Saccharomyces cerevisiae S288C: one gene and its partner. The protein of the gene in region 1 binds, or shares a complex with, the protein of each later gene. Each region holds a gene or a part of one and is shown in the gene's direction. Other genes may lie near its edges.

Region 1 (4,249 bases):
ACGACCGGATGAGGATGTAGATGAGATGCATGAAGTACGGGATCCGAATTTACCAAACCTTGGTTTTGCCTTAGATACTGGTAGGAGCTATCGAAAAAAGATGTTGCAGTTTTCTTTTGAGCGGCGGAACGATGATAACCTTTAGAGTATATGAATGATTTGAAAGCCATTTTCGTTTGTGTATGCTTGTTTTTTCTTTTCTGTTTGTTGTAGTCTCTATAAATTTAAATGCACTTATCTTTTTATGCAAAAAAAGCTGGGCGAGTTATTTGTTTCTATATTTGTATAATTTTTTTTTTTGTGAAGATGAATATAAACTGACAAAAAATTGTGTCAGAGTTGAAGCTATAGCTCCTTTTATGATGTGTCTTGGTTCTTTGGGTGCGATATTAGGGAAACAACGCACAGCAAATTTTCTTCTGCTTTCTTATAACGTTATAAACAATCCTGTTGTCTTGGTTTATTATGTGGAAAACTTTTCACGGATCAATTTTATAAAGCATACAACTAAAGAGAAAAGTGTAATATGGACGAACGAGAGACAACTTAATCCATGGATTTGTAATTGACGTGTGTATGATTCGAGGGAAACTGACAGTTTTTGCTTTGTCATGGGGGAATTGTAAGGCACACCGAGTCTCGGCCCCGAGTGCCTGGCCAATGAGAACGCGCGCATTCGGAGCTGCCCCACTTTTTGTGCGCTCTTGCATTTCATTGGTTAGCCGGAGGAATTCGGCGGTTAAAAGCGGACTCGAGCGGAAATAAAGTCTTTGCTTATTGTATGCCAGGAAAAGCTCTACAAATCTACTAAAAGAGTCAAATATACAGCTTTGCCAAGCGTGCGGCATAGGGAATAACAACAAATTGGAAATGTGCGGCTAGCGTAATCTTGGTATCTACTACCGACTCTGAAGAGTTTAGCGGGCTCTCAGACGGTTTTTTCGCTTTTGGCATTTTATTCAGGTAGCCTTAGATGTTAAATTTTCCATGGCATCTTGCGTAAAGCCTGCTAGGTTCCTTGCCACGTATAATTGCGCCGCGAATTCTGTGATAAATATATTGTAAGATTTTCTGTTGTCTTGGAATTGCTCTCTCTTTAAATAATACTTTATATGTTTACCCCAATTCTTTGCCGCCGAAAGGTCAGCGTTGCATTACGTGGTGTCCGGTCGCTATTTCCTGGGTTTTCTGCGGCAGATTCGCACTGCGCGCCACAGCTGCAACAACTGCAGTGTTATTTCGGGTGCCAATTTAGCGTGCTTCGATCTAACTATTCTGTAAATTCTGTAGTGACTCTTTAGGGCGAAGTACGTATTTCATGATTTAAAATCCCCGTCTTCAAATATACCGAAAAAAGAAACAAGACATTTTTTAGCAGTTTATGTACGCATTTTAAAAGCCGGGAAATGCTTCTTGTTACCCCTTTTGGCGCTTTGGATAAGTAGTTCACTTAGCTATTTTTTTTTCCGGTTCGAACTCGGGGTGAGGCTTTATCATGCACTTTTTTTTGGCTATTATTAATTTTCGCAGCCTTAATTTTTCCCTTTCCATTTTCTCGCATGTGGCGGTTTTCAGTATTACTTAGAGATGCCTTAAATAAATCTAACAGGCAGGTATACCAGGTACGAGTTAAAAACCTTTATCAGGTGGCCGACACTAGGGAATAAGACAGCATGGAGCGGCCTGGCTTGGTATTGCAGGACCTTCCACCCGAAATCCTGATAAACATCTTTTCTCACTTAGACGAAAAGGACTTGTTCACGTTGCAAGAACTTTCTACGCATTTCCGGAACTTAATTCACGATGAAGAACTTTGGAAGAACCTGTTTAAGTCTAGAGTTCACACGACTCATTTCCCCACATTTTCTCAGTCTTCGAAATTTAGTGTAGAGTATATTGAAAGGACACGGGGTCTTCATCATTGGCAGCATAACAAGGCTATAAGAACCAAATACACAATAATTCCGACGAGAAACTGGGATCAGCCCAGTATAGAACGCATAGTGTTTGATTATCCACGAGTTGCAGCTTATAATGATGGTACCATTACAATTTTACAGTTACAAAATCACAAAAGGCAGAAGAAATTTAAGAAATTGATTTATATTCCATGTACAACACCACAAGGTTGTTCTACCATGGACTTCAATATTAATGCTGCAGTGTTTGGTAGGTTTGACGGCAGAGTGTTTGGAAAACTGCTAAGTAACAAATCGTACTTAACGCCCGTGATGGAATTTACGGGAAGGCATAGTGCAGGCGTTACTGCCATTTGTAATTCAGAATCCTGGGACACGTCAAGAGAGGACTGGTCTGTTAGTGGCTCTGAAAACGGTGAAATTATATGGTGGTGCGAAAATAAGCTTGTTAAGATGTGGAAGGTTTCTAATAGGGTAATTTGGAAACTGGCTTTTTTTAAAGATTGGACCTTAATTATGGATGATGAAAAGCTGTACATTATCCATCAAATGCAGGAATTGCACAGTATTGATATTCCTAAGGATCTGGACGAACAGCCTATGAGGGTACGGTTTTTCAAGATGGATTTCGGTTCCATGACTTTGGTACTTGCTGACCTGAATAACGTTTATACAATATCGGTCAATCCCAATGGTAACTTCGGCAATTTGAGAAAGTTGGAGATGCCTGAACAAATATGCGCAGTTGAAATAGATGAAAAAACTTCTCAAAGGGAACAAAACTGGCAATTTGCTGGTGATGACGGCTGCTATATCAGTCTTTTGACGACACAGAACACTTTATACATTATCAATATAAGAGATCTTTCTTCGTCAGGCTTAAAAGTTCAATGTAAGATAAGTTTTGATGAGCAGGTATACGTATCGCAGGTGACAAATTTAATAGTTGTGGTAGCATTGCCAAATGTTCTTCAAATATTGAACGCGATGACAGGCGAGTTAATAAAGACAGTGTTGAAAACCGAGAAGTTTCCCGAATTTTTGAAGGTATCGCAGGATAAAATCATTATGGGAAGCGGTAACGTTTTGAATTATTTAAAGTTTGTTTCAAGTGATTCAAAGAAACATCACCATTCCACTAAAGGTAAAAACACAGTAAGCAATAAGTGGAATGAAACTTTGAACACGGAGCTGCAATATTATGATGAAGATGAAGACCTTAGAAGAAAAAGACAGTCAGAAATATCAAGATTGATCGATGCGTATGGTGGAGACCTTGAACTTTCAGGCGACACCGATGAAGAAAACGACATTCAGTTGAGAATTGCACTCTTAGAATCACAGGAGGCGCAAGCACGGAATCAAGCTGAAGCGGGGGAGCCTGTCGGAGATGATGAAGATGAGCAGTTAAGAAGGGCGCTGGAGGAATCTCAACTGATATATGAGACGCAAACGAATAGCTCTGCGAATCATGGTAATAATACGAATGATGAGATAGATGAAGATGATGAAGAGTTTCTCAGAGCCATCAGACAATCAAGAGTGGAGGACGAAAGGAGAAGACATCTTAGAAATCATACTACAGGTCGACGAAATGGGCCCTTGAGCGACGATAATTTTGCTACATATGGTGCAGCAGAGTCATCCGAACGAACCTCAACTGAGAACACTATCGGTAGTTCTGTTGGCGTTGATGCTAGTAATAATGTTGATGAAGACTTACAATTGGCCATTGCGTTGTCATTGAGTGAAATCAATTGAAAGTATGTACATTTGGAAGAGCATATGTTAAATATTTTATTTATAGATTTTTCGTTGTGAAATATTATTTTTTTTTTTTTGAAAAAAATGTCGGACTTTATTCCTCCTAATTATTAATAAAATACGAATATATATCTAAATATAATTAATGCTTATTTACATGAAAAATCATCAATCGTAAACAGTTGATTAAAAAACAAAAACTTTATCGGTTCCATTACCTTTGTGAAACCCATTACTCCACCCCAACTCCTTTGCATAATTCAAAACCATTTCATTCATTTTAGGTGGTCCGCAAATCAATAAACGATGGTCCTCCGCTTGTTTAGGTAGGTATCTTTTCATTTCCTCTAGAGTTACGTACCCAACATCACCGTTCCATTTACCGTTTGGCTTATGAATTACATAATGAACTTTAAAATGCGGGTACTCCTTAGCCATGTGGTCTAGTTGCGATTTCATGAGAATGTCATCCTCTGTTTCGTTTGCGTATATCAAAGAAATGTGTGTTAGGTCTTCTGGAGAGGGTATGATTTCTTGCAGCACTTGCAATACAGGGGTTATACCAG
Region 2 (4,595 bases), on another chromosome or scaffold:
TGATGGAAATGTTACCGATGATAAAAATCTTCCAAAAGAGTTTAAATGGGGCCAGTTTGCATCTACCATCGGCTGTCATTCTGCATACACTAGAGACCAAAACTACAATCCTAGTCACAAATCCTACGATGGTTACTCTCTATCATCATCTACCTCATCAAAAAATGCGGCTCTTAGAGAAATTTTAGGTGACATGTGCAGCGAGTGGGGAGGTGAAGAACGACTAGAAGGTGTTCTACATTCAGAAATAGGTGCCAATTTAGAGTTCAACACGACAGAAGAGAGAAAAGAGTGGTTACAATATATCGAAAAGGTAAAAGATTTCTATTACGGTGATAATAAGAAGAACCCAGAATCACCCGAATCAGTACACAACAAAGTTTACAAGTCAGATTGGGTAAATGAGCTCAATAAAGAGAGAGAAAAGTGGCGGAGGTTAAAGCAAAGGAAGTTACAACAGTGGAGACCTCCTTTGACGTCGCTATTACTTGATAATCAATATTTGATTTTGGGTTTGAGGATTTTCACTGGTATATTATCGTGCATTTCACTTGCTCTGGCAATCAAGATTTTTCAAAACTCAAGATCAAATAACACCATCAGTGAAAGTAAAATCGGGCAACAACCAAGCACCATAATGGCCATCTGCGTCAACGCCGTGGCGATTGCGTATATTATTTACATTGCACACGATGAATTTGCTGGTAAACCTGTTGGTTTGAGGAATCCGTTAAGCAAACTGAAACTAATTTTGTTGGACTTACTTTTTATAATTTTTTCAAGCGCTAATCTAGCGCTGGCATTTAATACTCGTTTCGACAAAGAGTGGGTTTGCACTTCTATTCGCAGGTCAAATGGAAGCACGTATGGATACCCAAAAATACCGCGTATCTGCAGAAAACAGGAAGCTTTATCCGCTTTTCTGTTCGTTGCCTTGTTTATGTGGGTAATCACTTTCTCGATCAGTATTGTTAGAGTAGTCGAAAAAGTCAGTTCAATTACCAACAGAAACTGAGCTCGACAAATATAGAAATTAAAAGAATTCTTTTAGATACCAAGATTGACATTTATATGCATTGTATATTTTTGACTTAAAAAATTACTCCGGCTTGGCATTTATTCATTAACGGCGGGTTTGATTATATTAGGCTTTGTGCGATATAATATGTATTACCCGAAGGGAGGGCTATTGCACTTTCTTTTCCTTTCCGTTTTAAGGGCCCTTTTTCATTTCGATGTTTGATGGACACACATGAAGTGAAATGTGGCAAATAGAACATCTAGAAAAACTAGGGCATTAGGTAAAGTACCCCAGCAGAACTTCACTTTACAACGCAATTGATTCATATCACTGCTCTTTTATATTGTCCTTTTTCTCTTTTAGAGCTTTTCATCCGCATCTTCTAACTTCTGTGCACCCCTTTCATTGTTGATTACATTTTACCTCAGTTACACATTTCTTTTAGCAATTCGACATTGCTTCTACTTACCGATAAATAAGCGTACATTTTTGAGTCTTGAAAGGATTCTTACATATACCTAAACAAAGAATAACAACAAAATCGCAAGCAGCAAAGCATGTCTGAGACTCTGCCTAGATCTGATGATTTAGAGGCCACTTGGAACTTTATAGAGCCAGGAATTAACCAAATACTGGGTAATGAGAAAAACCAAGCATCCACGTCTAAGCGAGTTTACAAAATTCTTTCTCCAACCATGTATATGGAAGTCTATACCGCAATTTATAACTACTGTGTGAACAAATCACGCTCGTCTGGACATTTTAGTACTGACAGTAGAACTGGCCAATCAACAATTTTGGTTGGCAGTGAGATTTACGAAAAGTTAAAGAATTATTTGAAGAATTACATTTTAAATTTTAAGCAGTCTAATTCAGAGACCTTTTTGCAGTTTTACGTCAAGCGCTGGAAAAGGTTTACAATAGGTGCCATTTTTTTAAACCATGCATTCGATTATATGAATAGATATTGGGTTCAAAAGGAAAGAAGTGACGGCAAAAGGCATATTTTTGATGTAAACACCTTGTGCTTGATGACATGGAAAGAAGTCATGTTTGATCCGAGTAAAGATGTTTTAATAAACGAATTATTAGACCAGGTAACCTTGGGAAGGGAGGGGCAAATAATTCAAAGAAGTAATATTAGCACTGCCATAAAGTCTTTAGTTGCACTAGGTATCGATCCACAGGATTTGAAAAAGTTGAACCTAAATGTCTACATCCAAGTTTTCGAAAAGCCATTTTTAAAGAAGACTCAGGAGTACTACACGCAATATACAAACGATTATTTAGAGAAACACTCGGTAACTGAGTATATTTTTGAAGCACATGAAATCATCAAACGTGAGGAAAAAGCAATGACAATATATTGGGATGATCATACAAAAAAACCACTATCCATGGCATTAAACAAGGTCTTGATCACAGACCATATTGAAAAGTTGGAAAATGAGTTTGTTGTCCTTCTGGATGCCAGAGATATTGAAAAAATTACTTCTTTGTACGCACTAATACGCAGAGACTTTACATTAATCCCAAGAATGGCTTCAGTGTTTGAAAATTATGTTAAAAAGACAGGTGAGAATGAAATTTCGAGTCTACTGGCAATGCATAAACACAATATTATGAAAAACGAAAACGCAAACCCTAAAAAACTAGCACTAATGACAGCTCACTCCCTTTCTCCTAAAGACTATATCAAGAAATTACTGGAAGTACACGATATATTCTCTAAGATTTTTAATGAAAGTTTCCCCGACGACATACCTTTAGCTAAAGCTCTAGATAATGCGTGTGGTGCTTTCATCAACATCAACGAGTTCGCATTACCTGCTGGATCTCCAAAAAGTGCCACCTCGAAGACTTCCGAGATGCTAGCTAAGTACAGTGATATACTATTAAAGAAGGCCACCAAACCTGAAGTGGCAAGTGACATGTCAGATGAAGATATTATAACAATATTCAAATATTTGACCGACAAAGATGCGTTCGAAACTCATTATAGAAGACTTTTCGCCAAGCGTTTAATTCATGGCACTTCAACATCAGCAGAAGACGAAGAAAATATTATTCAAAGGCTGCAAGCGGCAAATAGTATGGAATATACAGGCAAGATAACTAAAATGTTTCAAGATATTAGACTTTCCAAGATCTTGGAAGACGATTTTGCTGTCGCCCTGAAGAATGAACCAGATTACTCTAAAGCAAAATATCCAGATCTACAACCATTTGTATTGGCAGAAAATATGTGGCCATTTTCATACCAAGAAGTTGAATTTAAGCTACCCAAGGAATTGGTACCATCTCACGAAAAATTGAAGGAGTCATACAGCCAAAAGCATAATGGTAGAATATTGAAGTGGCTATGGCCATTATGTCGTGGCGAATTGAAGGCAGATATTGGAAAACCCGGCAGGATGCCGTTCAACTTTACGGTAACACTGTTTCAAATGGCAATTTTGCTACTATATAACGATGCTGATGTATTAACCTTAGAAAATATTCAAGAGGGCACGAGCTTAACCATTCAGCACATCGCAGCGGCAATGGTACCATTCATCAAATTCAAACTGATTCAACAGGTCCCACCAGGGCTAGATGCTCTCGTGAAACCTGAAACACAATTCAAGCTATCACGTCCTTATAAGGCGCTTAAGACCAATATTAATTTCGCTAGCGGAGTCAAAAACGACATTCTGCAATCGCTATCCGGTGGAGGCCACGATAATCACGGTAATAAGTTAGGAAACAAACGCTTGACGGAAGACGAAAGAATAGAAAAAGAATTGAATACAGAAAGGCAGATTTTCTTGGAAGCTTGTATTGTGAGAATAATGAAAGCGAAAAGAAATCTGCCACATACAACATTGGTCAACGAATGCATTGCGCAATCACACCAAAGGTTCAATGCAAAGGTTTCTATGGTCAAGAGAGCCATCGATAGCTTAATACAAAAGGGATACCTACAGAGGGGAGACGATGGTGAATCGTATGCTTACCTTGCTTAATCATCTTTGAAGGCTTGTGCTGATCGAACGAAGCAAATCCTACGAGTAAATACATAAGCGTATACATATATATATATATATATATATATATATATATATGTATATATATATATGTGTGTGTGTGTAATTGTGTGTATTCAACTGAACTATGAAGAGTCTTTGACCTCTTGAGAATCTCATAGTATGAAGATATGGCACTTCTCTTTCCGTTGTAACATCCTTTACCGGGCGGCTTTTCGGCCTGCTTGAGAAGAGATCAGGCTGAAATGATGAGACTGACAACAAGGATCAGTCAGTGGCAGAGTTGAAATTCCGCTGGAAATCGTCACCAGCAGCTACCAGCTCCAAGAAATCCGCGTAGAAATCACGTCGCGCAATGTGCGATAGTGGTGGAACAGCGAAAATTAGTCACTTTGCAAAGATGCCAAGCTGATCGTTCTCGTTGTGTGTGATTCTACGATATTGCGCATGAGTGGTGTTGAGCATGCGTTTGTTCGCATTTTCATGCAGTCTCTTATATACTAATATATATATGCAACAGATTTCAAAATTTATCTTTCTTCTTGTTG

Evidence for each region. Proteins that work in one complex are often made in the same cells at the same time.
Region 2: UFO1 (region 1) and CDC53 share a complex: the UniProt entries of both Saccharomyces cerevisiae proteins name them as parts of the probable SCF(UFO1) complex.

What each region holds. Positions count from the first base shown.
Region 1 is NC_001145.3:90,562-94,810, forward strand, and holds UFO1 (SCF ubiquitin ligase complex subunit UFO1), read left to right. Parts: upstream 1-1,673; coding exon 1,674-3,680; downstream 3,681-4,249. Other genes in the region: RPM2 (ribonuclease P), read right to left, coding at 1-170; AIM33 (cytochrome-b5 reductase), read right to left, coding at 3,870-4,249. UniProt on the Saccharomyces cerevisiae protein: Substrate recognition component of a SCF (SKP1-CUL1-F-box protein) E3 ubiquitin-protein ligase complex which mediates the ubiquitination and subsequent proteasomal degradation of target proteins. Probably recognizes and binds to phosphorylated target proteins.
Region 2 is NC_001136.10:222,726-227,320, forward strand, and holds CDC53 (cullin CDC53), read left to right. Parts: upstream 1-1,578; coding exon 1,579-4,026; downstream 4,027-4,595. Other genes in the region: SRF1 (phospholipase D regulator), read left to right, coding at 1-1,015. UniProt on the Saccharomyces cerevisiae protein: Core component of multiple cullin-RING-based SCF (SKP1-CUL1-F-box) E3 ubiquitin-protein ligase complexes which mediate the ubiquitination and subsequent proteasomal degradation of target proteins.